2 linked regions of the Macaca fascicularis genome follow. The protein of the gene in region 1 interacts with the protein of each later gene in a pairwise test. Links are inferred from orthologs where the notes say so. Each region holds a gene or a part of one and is shown in the gene's direction. Other genes may lie near its edges.

Region 1 (5,750 bases):
TTGTCAGAATACCTAGACAGTAAAATGCTAGAAAACAATGACTCTACAGAAATGGTTTATATTTTACTTTTATAGTATCTCAGATGATCATATAGCAAGATCTTAATAAAGATCTTAAACAGGGATAAACTATATTTTCATAAGCTATCACCATAGCAACATGTATGCTCTATAGAAATATTTTTTCAACTTATTTGACTAAGAAGAAAAGGATTTGAAATTATAGAAGTGAAACAATAAAAGGGTTAGAAAAAAACAGGAAGCAAAACACGTTTACAAAATAACTATCATGATTCTACTGATACATAAGATACCACCACACTGCTTTATATAGTATGCCTTTAAAATATTAATAAAATAATTTCTCAATCTAACAGGAAAAGCAATTCAAAAGCTAAGCAAAATAAAAACGAAAGAAAGAACATGTGTACATGCCAAGAGTGGGCACTAATACTGTTCATCAGTGTACTGTACTGTGTGATTTTTAGACTAAAAGGTTTTTCAATGTTATAGTGAAGCCTATGAAATACCAACTACCCTAACAAGTTTTTATCCCATAAACCAAACAGATATGAGTAAAAGATAAGGGAATATATTTTTCAATTTCATTGAATAGTAAGAATATTTCTCCTTGAAACATTCCTAGCCTGGCTCTCATTTGTACAACAGGAAACAGAATAAAAAGGGTGGCCTACACACCCTTTGAAATTCCATTTCTGAAATCACTGTCTTATTCTCGAATGTTAGAACTTTTTGTGGGATCTGACATATTCTCAAGTAGCTGTGAAGTGCATTAAGGTATCAATGAGTACCCCCCATCTACCTCTTCCCTCCCACTTTTCCAAAAATACAGCTGCCTTTGGAACCTTAAATGGTAAAAATCAACAGATAAAGGAGTCTTAGACAGATATGCTAAGTCACCTTAAGGATCAAAGCTGCAGAATAAGACATGGCAGTATGAGCATAATACAGTAATAATTGACATTAGTAAAAGAATTCATCAATATAAATGGAGTGTGGATGGTCAGAAAAGGAAGTAAAAGAAAGCAAGATACATATTGGCAATGCCTACTTAAATATCCACTGCCACGATAGAGATAACCTAGCTTCATGCTACCAAACATTTAGAATCGTAATTAATCCCCCATTGAGGAAGTAAAAAATAGGAGACTGGGATATGGGAAAAGGTCATCAAGCCTAGATTTGAAACCAGGATATAAAGAGCTGGAATTACAGGCACCCGCCACCCTGCTCGGCTAATCTTTGTATTTTTAGTAGAGACGGGGTGGTCTCAAACTCCCGGCCTCAGGTGATCCACCCAACTCGGCCTCCCAAAGTGCTGGGATTACAGGCGTGAGCCACGGCACTCGGCTAGCGTTTTCCCTTAGACTCGAAATTTCGCTCCTATTGTCCCATCCTTGTAGTAAAAAAGGTATTCTTTCTAAGGCTTAATAACAAATTTTACTCTTGGCAATTATCAGGAACTCGACTATATTAAAATAGCTAACGAGAGGAAATTACTGAAGCTACAAAGTCAAAGGTCTCACCATCAAAGTTATCCTTGACAACTGACAAGAGCTGTTAGATCTTCTTTTGGTCTTTCTGCTAATTCAACCCTAGTCTTAAAAATAGCCACCTATTGCCTAATCCCCTAATCTCGTATTTCTAATACGAGAAAGTTTCTATATATCCAAACTTTCCTATCTTTGAGGGGCAGGCATGGTTAACGTGGTTCTCAGTAAGATATTCATTTACAACTAAGAGAAAATCCCAGGCTATCATCTGACATTCTTGTTTTACTTTAAAAACCTTTCTAACGTTATTTATTCTCTGACAACCTCAAAATTACTTTCCACAAAGAAAATTCTAGAAATCTAAAAATGCGAAGTGCGTGCTTGTCAGAAGGTACTAAGGAAATTCTTCCTTTAAACGTCAAATGTGAATTCTAACTTCTAATGGGTAAGACCCTCGAGATTTACAGCGGTGGTCTGGTGGAAAGAAAACCCCCTTGGCACTAGGAGCTCACAAAACCCCATCCCGTGGTTGAGGCGGAAGCGGCTACGCGCTCCCGGGCTTTCGACAAGCAGCCCTGCAACGCAGGCCCGTCATCTTCAGCAGAAAGCTCTCTCACGTCCTGGCCCGCAAGCCCGGAGGGTTCGTCATAAACACACAAGGCAAGGATAGAAGCGAGGCCAAGAGGCAGGTCACGCAACTGTCAAACGAAGCCCACCCACCGACTGACAAGTCCCCAAGGCGACAAGCGATCCCCGCGCGGGATACTCACCCGTTACCTCAGGATCGCGACTACAACTCCCAGGAGGCTGGGCGAGCGACGAACCAACGCCCTTCCCAGAATGCAGCACAGCGGCATCCCTATCCCGCCCTCTCCTTACTGCGCTCCTCCTACTTTTCTACCCCTCGTCATCCGGGAGAGCCGGAGGTAGGGTGCGGGAGGAGGATCCCGCACGCTTGGCGTGTCGCGTCAGACGCCGGGAGGGGGACGGGGCGGGGAGGAGGAGGGGAGAATGGGAGGACGAAGGGGAGGGGAAAGGACAGGGGAGGGGAGGGTAAATAGTGGGCCAGGCAGCAAGATGGCGGCGGTAGCGGAGGTGTGAGTGTACTCGGGTCTCAGCGGCCGGATTTTCTCTTCCCTTCTTCTCCCTTTTCCTTCGCTATTTGAAATTGGCATCGAGGGGTCTAAGTTCGGGTGGCAGCACCGGGCGCAACGCAGGGGTCCCGGCGACGGCGGCGGCGGCTGACGGCTGGAAGGGTAGGCTTCCTTCACCGCTCGTCCTCCTTCCCCGCTCCGCTCGGTGTCAGGCGCGGCGGCGGCGCGGCGAGCGGACTTCGTCCCTCCTCCTGCTCCCCCCCACAGCGGAGCTGGCACTCTTCGCTTCGCCATCCCCCGACCCTTCACCCCGAGGACTGGGCGCCTCCTCCGGCGCAGTTGAGGGAGCGGGGGCCGGTCTCCTGCTCGGCTGTCGCGCCTCCATGTCGGATAATCAGAGCTGGAACTCGTCGGGCTCGGAGGAGGATCCAGAGACGGAATCTGGGCCGCCTGTGGAGCGCTGCGGGGTCCTCAGTAAGGTGAGCAACCGGTGGTGCCAGGGGACCCCTGGCCAGACTCACCTGCCGCGAGGCAATCCGCTGAGGCGGTGGGGTGGGGCTGGCGGGAGGCGCGGAACGTGCCGGGGTGCGAGGCTGAGTACTGCTGCGGCGACTAGGGATGAGGCGGGGATATAGGGGGCCTGTCCTTGCTGCCCGAGGGCTCGTCGGGGGCAGCCGAGGACCAGGGAAAGGGTGTATCAACCGGGGATCCAGTTTGGGAGACCAGATGCGTGCCGTGCCTTGGGACCTAGGGCGGCAGCTGTCCCGGGTGTAAGGAATCCGGGTTGGGCTTCAGCGGTGTCCGAACGACTGGGCACGGGAGCGGTTCAAGTCGGACCTCTTAAAAGAGGTTGGTCTGTCTGAGGATGCCAAGCCGAGTAGGTTGGGGGGCACTGCGGACGCAGCTGTTTCGACAGAAGCCGGAGCGACTCAGCTTGGTGTTGAAATTTGAGGTGTTGAACTCGCCAGGTTAGATGTAGTGAGACAGATTAATGTGGAGGACTTTCTCCCTCACCCTGTACCTTAGTTCAGAATAGAGATATTGAATCGGCACGTGATGGGTACAGGAAATATTCATAGTAACTTGAAACATGTGAGAAAGGAGACTGATCTTTAGTCCAGGAAGAAGAGCATTATTTAATAATAAACTCTTTTTGCGGTAAGGGGTCCAGGGTAGGGAAAAGATGTTTTACCTTTTATGTATTTTTTAAAATCCGTGTATCAAAATTTTAGGAAAGCAGCCATTATAGAACTGCGGATGGGTGATCTCTTGATATTACATGGTTGGGATTTTTTTTTTTTTTAAGTTTTTGCTATAAGAAGATTCACATAGCCTTTTGGACTTCTCTCCCCCTTCCTGTTAAACTTTTTTAGAAATGGCTGGAGCTAGCAGTTAACTTGGAGAGGGGGAGCTGGGCCAGTCCCTCAACAAGCTGGTCATAAGATACTATGTCATGTGCAGCTACTGGCTATTAAGAAATCACCCTGTTTCCAGTATTCATACTTTGGCACATCACTTGGACATTATTTGTGGAATTGTTTAATATAATGCTTTTATAATGTCTGTAGAAAGCTAATGAGAAGGGAACTAGAAAAGGCATGAGTAGTCAGAACTAAGGATTGCAAGTGTTGACTTTTATTTGTATAGCCGAAAAATTAGTTGTATATTGATGCTGTGATCATTCTTGAAATTTCAATGCAAGGTTTTCAGTAACGAGAAGCTCCTCAGGATTTCTTTACATTAAATGTATCCTGTAATTTAGGAATCTCTATTGAACACATTGTGTAGTAGGTACACATTTTCAGTTGATAATAGGAAGTGGGTTACTTGCTTCTCAGTGATTTTGATAGTTTCATCACTGCTCATAAGATGGGAAGCTGACTGCCATATTAGTATTGTGATGTGTTGAGTATTTTACAAAACAAATTGTAATTTTGACCTACTGATAATTACTTTTTTGGGGGTTGGGGGAATGGAGTGACTGGGGGAAAAAGTCACCAGTGCTCTGAGTTTTACTTTATGTGGAGTAGGTATACTATAGATCAAAAAATGGAAGACCAATCTCGATATTTAAATGCATACAAATGCATTTGATCACCTCTGTGGAAGGTGAATAACTTAAATTTTGACTGTTGCTTCTTATGTAGAATGAATAGGAATACAGCTTTTGGTATTCTTGCTAATAGCTATGAAGGAAATTTTCCTGAGATTTACCAATTTATGGTTATATACAGTGTTTTCTGGAAACTTTTTAATCAAGGGTATTCTAAATTGAATATATATACTCATACTGAGTATGGTGCATGTTTTTAAATGTAAATTATATATTTTGAATTCTTCATATTCACCTGGTAATTTAAACAAGGATCAGAACTCGGCTTTTGTTCTTTTCCTTCCATTGAGTAATGTAAATAAGTCCCGGTACAATTTGTTTCGTTTGTCACCCAAAATGGGGTGGATTTGGAATGGGCTTGGGTAAATTTATATTAGAAATATACCAGTTCAAAGGGTATTTTCCATATGGTAATCTGAAATATATGGAAATACCTATGAAGCATATTTCTTATAAATCACTTAAGTGTATAGATTCCAAAAATACTTGATAGACAATAATTCTGTCTGGTTATAACAAGTATCGTGATGGATCATGGTGGGGAAAAGATGCATGCCTTAGTAGGACTTGAGAGCAACTAAGGCTGGATAAAATAATCTCATTCAATTTCTGAATTTCCTCCATCCTTCATGGTTTACCTTCTGTTTTTGCACACACCAAACTGTTTGAAATTCTGTCCATCCTTAAGAGTCCAAGTCAAATACTGTCCTTTCCGTAAAGCCTTTTTGTATTTTGCCATCATTCAAGACCTCCTTCACTTGAATTCCCATAGCATTTTGTTTTATTCTAAATATATATTTTTTTCTCTTGTGTTTGTGTTTGCTGGCCTGTTTGCCACAGTAACATTCAGTTCTCCTGCAATGTCTAGCATATTGCCTTGTCTGTATTTGTTAAATGGGGAAGAGTGAGGGAACATTATGAGAGCAGAGAAAAGACAAAAAACTTGTCTTCCAGGTGTCATAATAACAGCTAACAGCTTACTGAGAAAAGAGTCGTGAAGCTGATATAGTTTGTTCAGCCTCTTACAAG
Region 2 (5,759 bases), on another chromosome or scaffold:
TCTCTTGGATAAATACCTTGAATGGGGTTCCTTTGGGAAGGCCAGACCACAGGGCTTTCACTTGGTCTAGAGGGTGCCGAGGAGCTGCTGGAAGTTTTGTGGGTCTGTTTTGTTTTAAGTAACACTGATGAATTCGATGTGGATCTTAGAAGGAGTGAATAGGAGGGGAGATGCCAGTCTTCAATTCCCCAGATGAGGGTGGCAGCTCAAACTGGTGACTCGGTGTGGGACTTTGCCCCATCGCCTTTTTCCTAATCTGTGAAATGGATTTTTCACAGGCGTGCATGGGATCGTTGCCAGGACTGAGTGGGATAATGCATGAGGGGTACTTGGCATGGGGCTGGCATGGAGCAGATGCGCAGTGGTGGCAGCCAACAGGACTGCCATTTTTAGGTGTTTCAGGCAGGATGTCCTAGCTTCTCCCTGGTGCTAGCCATTATGTGTTCACAGACCAAGAGCCCAGGGGGGTGGCAAAGGGTCTTGGTGCCCTGCTCAGAGACATTTCTGGACTCAGAAGGTGGGGCACAGCTGCCCACTGCTGTGCAGTGCCAGGCACTTTCTGATGCCTTCTTATGGCATCCCTCAGAGGAGTGGGTGGCCAAGGTGGCCTTGGGTTCTGGGCACTTTGCCCAACCCCCTGACAATCACCCCAACTGGCATCTTGCCTGTCCAAGCCCCGAGCTGCTGGGCCCCAGCAAGTCAAGCGGCCATGATTAGTCAAATAAAATTTCCATCTGTTGAGGAATTTACGAGAGTTATTACTGGCTATAAAACCGATCTGAGGAGAAAGATGGATCCGAGGGGTTAGTGCCTCTAATTATGTGCAGCAGTGACTTTTAAATAAGGTAGAACAAGTCCTTACTGGAGGGAACCAGGCCCCTATCCCTGTCTGGGCCCAGAATGTGCCAGGCTGGTGGCGGTGGGTGCTTCACTGCAGAGGGAGGAAAGAGGAGCTACCGTATGCAAACTCGGGGATGGGGGTCAGTGTGGCTTAAATCTTTTTTTTCTTTTTTGGTAGAGACAAAGTCTTGCTATGTTGCCCAGGCTGGTCTCAAACTCCTGGGCTCAAGCATTCCTCCCGGCCTCCCAAAGTGCTGGGATTACAGGTATGAGCCATTGTGCCTGGCCATTGTGGCATTTAGAAAGATCTTGGATGCAAAAGGGCCTAGCGCAGTGCCTGGCATGCAGCAGGGACTTAATAAATGCATGTTTCTTCTTTACCTGCTTCCCTCTCTTCTACCCCCGGGGACTGAGCTGGGCTGCTTACTGGATGCAGGCAGCGGTCTCCCTGGGCCGGGCTCTTGTTGGCACAGACTCTGTGTGATCCACCCAGGTAACCTTGCTAGGCCTCCATAGCTTCACCTTTAAAGTGGGACAATTAATTACCAAAGGAACACGAGAAGGCAGGTTTTTGGGTATGTGGGCCCAACCTTGTTCTGTTTTCTTTTTGGGACTGAGTCTCGCTGTTTCACCTAGGCTAGAGTGCAGTGGTGCGATCTTAGCTCACTGCAACCGCTGCCTCTTGGGTTCAAGTGATTCTCTGGCCTCAGCCTCCCTAGTAGCTGGGATTACAGGCGCCCACCACCATGCCCAGCTAATTTTTGTATTTTTAGTAGAGACGGGGTTTCGCCATCTTGGCCAGTCTTGTCTCGAACCCCTGACCTGAGGTGGTCCTCCCCCCTCGGCCTCCCAAAGTGCTGGGATTACAGGCGTAAGCCGCCGCACCTGGCCCTATTCTTAACACATGACTCAACTCTAATGCACCCAGCATCTAGGGAAGGAGGCCACATCGTGGGTTTCTCCTCATCTCAGGTGGGAAGGTCTCAGGGGTCCATGTGCTCACCTGAGGTCACCTGGATCCCAGATGCTCCTGCTTTCTTGGAGGAATGTGGCTTTAAAAGGCCAACTCCTAACCTTCACCTTACTCAGGATACTGAGAACAAGACCACTTGGGAGCAAACGTGGCCTCCTGGTGGCTGGGGAGAGCCGTGAGATGGTAGGTGCTGGAAATTCTGCCTGGAGTCCAGCATAACTAAGTCCCCAGGACCCAGGGTGGAGATGAATGACCCCATCCCAGAGAGTCCGAGCCTTCAAATATAGGGCTCTGGGGCCTGAGACTCTGAGGTCCTGCAGCAAATTCGTGGCGGGTCCACTGACTGCTAGGCCAGGGGTCTTGTCGCTGGTCCACGCGGAAAGGAAGGATGGCTACTTTCTGTTCCTCCCCTGACCACTGCTCCATCAAGCACAGACCAGGCCCCATCCCCTGGGCCATTTAAAACCAGAGGCCCAGGTGCCACGGCCACGCTTTCAAGACCGTAGAGTCAGCTGTTAAAAGGCTCACACCTGGGCCAGGTGCCATCAGAATTCAGTCTTCCAGAGGCTCTGGCTCGCCTCCTAGCAGGTAGGTCTCACCATGGGTCCCTTTCTCTTGGCCAGGCGCTTGGGTGTGACTGCTTGGCAGCGGTTGTGCACTGTGGAGCCCCTGGTCCCTGATTCCCGACCTGAGGGGCCTGGGCTGCAGGCGGGAGCCCAGGGGCCGGCGTTTGTGGTGGGGTTGCAGGAAAAACCGAGCTTCTCTGGTCAGGTTGTGGCCTGTGTGGGTGGCCTCCTTGGTGCCCCCACAAGCCTTGTTCCCCGGTGACTCCTGAGCTGTGGGCCCCAGGTGGCAGTGGAGAGGCTCCCAGCTCTGGCGCTTTCTGCGTGGCCTCCTGGGGACTCAGTTTTCCTCTGCGTCCGTGGGGATGGTAGGGCTGCGTGGTGGGGCCCAGGCAATGATGAAAGGAGTGTGTGTGTGTGAGAGAGAGGAGCAGGCCTCTGATTCCTTGTTCGCCTTTGGTGGCCAGGCTAGGAAAAGCAGCGGGGAAGCGCTTGCCTCGCTGTGGCAAGTTGATGTCTCTTGGACTGAGACCTTTGGGCTAGAGTGGCCTAGTTGTCTGGAGTTCTCCCCTCCTCTCACACCTCATTGCAGGATGAGAAAGCCTGGCCTGTGGGTCCCCAGACACTGCGGGCTCTGCGACAGCTATGGAATTTCTGTCTTTGGAAGGCTTCCATCGTGCTGAGGGCTTCATTCTGTCTGGGTTTCATGTTGTCTAAAACCAGGTAGGCTGGGGAGTGGGAGTGTGTGTGGGCTGTGTTGATGTACCCCTGTGATGGCCCCGAGCTGGCCCATGGCCCCTGTGACCTCGCTTTCAGACCGTAGAGTCAAGTGACCAGGTAGCATGGGGGTGCCTTGTGGTGTGGTCTTTAGAAAGGGTCCCCGGAGGTGTGGCATCCCTGGTTCCCTCCTAGTCATGTCTGTGTGACCTCACTGGCTTTCCCATCTCAAACTTGGGGGTGGAGTGGGTCCCTCAACCGCCTTCCCCACTTCTGTGGGACCCCTGGTCCCCCCTGTGTCCCCTGCCTCCAGCCTGGAAGGAGGTTCTGAGGAATTGGAGGGCTGCAGATGCCCCTGCTGGCTTGAGTGCCTTTGTAAGCAGCTCATTAACGTTTTACCCCTCCTATTCCTCATTAGCCTCAGGCCCTCTCCATGAGAGGGTTCCCAGGATTTCTGAGTTTTTGCTGGCACTTGGGGCAGGGGAAGGCTTATGGCAAAATGTTCCTTAGTCTTTTCTCCCCCGTTCTCTCCCTCTGCAAAAAAGGATGAGCGGTTGGGGAGCCTTGGGGCCGACAGGTTTTGTGAGTGTGCAGTGGGGGCTTCCGCCCTCGGGAAACAGGGGTTGTAATGGAGTTCCATGCTTTACCAGCTGATGACTCAGCAGGTCTGAGCCTCAGCTTCCCATTTACTGAATGGGCTAACTGGGACAATGATTGATCTAGTGCCTTCTATCATGATAATCATTATTTTTGATAACATGTCCCAGACAAGAGTAGCAAAGGTTGGAAAGCAGCTCTGTGTCGAGCTGAGCGGGGCTCGGGAAGCCCTGGTGGGTGCAGGGAAGGGGGCTGTGGGGGTGCTGGTGATTTCGTGGAGGCGGAAGCCTCTGGCTGGTCCCTCCCCTTGGTGGGCAACTACGGTCCAGTTCCCGGCCGATGATGGGGTTGGCATTAGGTGTGACCCAAGGGGTGGGTAGAGGCCAGGGAAGCTGCTCTGTATCCTACAGTGCACAGGCCGGCCCCTGCTGCAGACCGTCATCCTGCCTCAATTGTCAACAGCGCCCAGGTTGAGAGACCCTCTAGCTCCATGCCCGGCACATAGTTGGCCCTCCCTAAAGCTTGGACAAATACCAGTGGGCAAGCCAGGGGGGACTGGTCATAAAGTCAGCCTGAAAACGGGGGGTTCGCTTCCTTCCAGCCCAATATTTCTTCCTATTGCTCTGTTAGGCATGGTCAGGAATGCTATGAGGTTCTGACAGGCAGTTTCCAGCCCTGGGTACCCTTGGAGGTGGGGTTGGTGATGCTGTGACTTCAGCAGCCTGAGCTCCTGGGGGCCCCTCCACAGCACCTCTCATCCTGGTGCTTATTGGGTTCAGCCTCGTCCTCCTTGTCTCGCCACCATGACACACAAGTCCCAGCTGCCGATGATCTGCCAGGCCCACGTGGCATGCCCGATGTGGCCTGAGAGCCTGGGTTTTAATAGCTGAAGATTTCTTTTAAAAAAATTCCACTTGTCTCGAGGCCCTCATTCCTCCAGCTCTGCCCGCCTGGCTCCCCAGGGGAGTTCATGCAGAAATTGATGTGTTAACAGGCTGCAGCGTCTCCCTCTCCATCTCTCCACTTAGCCTCCCTTGGAGATGGCCTAGTTGCTGGTTGTCTGTGCCCCTGCCCAGTGGCCCAAGATGGCACTTGGCTTGGGGCCCCCGGATCTGGGTAGGGGGGCTGTATAGACACGAGATGTTGGAATCCACCCAGGTAAAGATACCATGACACACAAGTCCCGGGTGCCAACTGTGCAGCGCTGGGGGCTCCAGCCAGAGCGGAGTTGGGAGGGATGCTGCGGGAATCCAGCTTGTCGGGAGATGGCACCAACTGCAAGTGCTGGACGCTTCCTTCCCTGAGATGAGCAGGCAAGGATCACCGGGTCTGGGGTTGTGCGGAGCAGGTTGGGGCTGGCCTTCCTCCTTTGGGTCCCTGAGTGTGGTGGGCCTGGAGGAAGAGAAACATGTCAACTTGGCTGTCCAGGCCGTGTGTACTGAAGAGTAACCTCCACGCAGGCAGGGATTTTTATCTGCCTTAGCTCACTGTGGTGTCCTGGTGCCTAGGAGAGCGCCTGGCACGGAGGCCTCACGGTCCCCCACTCTTTGCCTCCAAACCACCTCAGCTTGAGCTCTACCTACAGACAGGACCCTCTGCTTTTTACACATTAACTCATCAGACACTCACAATAACCGTATGGAGTTGGTGTGATAACTTACCCATTTGACAGGTGAGAAAACTGAGGCCCAGGGAAGTGAGGTAACATGCCCAAGCCCCTCTCCATGGCAGGCTCTGTAGCATCTCTTAGGTCTCAGCTCAGTGATCCCCTCTTAAGAGGTCTGACCAGAGCCCTGGCTCCGTTCCACACACACTATCATTGTTGCTCCCTCGTGGCACATGTCACCCGACTCTCTATAAATGCCTGATTCACTGACTTATTCACGATCTGTCTCCACTCCCCGGAATGTGAAGTTTCTCAGGACAACGTCCAGCCCGTGGCAGGGCAGTGCTGACGGGTCTGATCTGACATCTGTGCTCTTACCCATCAGGCTTTCCTGCCTACCTGGTTTGATGAGCCGTGGGTTCATTACATCTGGCGTGGGTACCATTTCCCGGGTCTTAGGATG

Evidence for each region. The genes of interacting proteins can lie anywhere in the genome.
Region 2: the proteins of CERT1 (region 1) and ACTL8 interact in binary tests that used the Homo sapiens proteins (3 or more experiments, as listed by UniProt). The two-hybrid records come from large-scale screens. The link is inferred for Macaca fascicularis from reciprocal best matches to the Homo sapiens genes CERT1 and ACTL8.

The regions. Positions count from the first base shown.
Region 1 is NC_088380.1:79,525,347-79,531,096, reverse strand, and holds the start of CERT1 (ceramide transfer protein), read left to right. Parts: upstream 1-2,352; 5' UTR 2,353-2,354; coding exon 2,355-2,440; intron 2,441-2,581; exon of another isoform or gene 2,582-2,693; coding exon 2,694-3,087; intron 3,088-5,750. UniProt on the Homo sapiens protein: Shelters ceramides and diacylglycerol lipids inside its START domain and mediates the intracellular trafficking of ceramides and diacylglycerol lipids in a non-vesicular manner.
Region 2 is NC_088375.1:217,345,892-217,351,650, reverse strand, and holds the start of ACTL8 (actin-like protein 8), read left to right. Parts: upstream 1-2,357; 5' UTR 2,358-2,401; intron 2,402-5,759.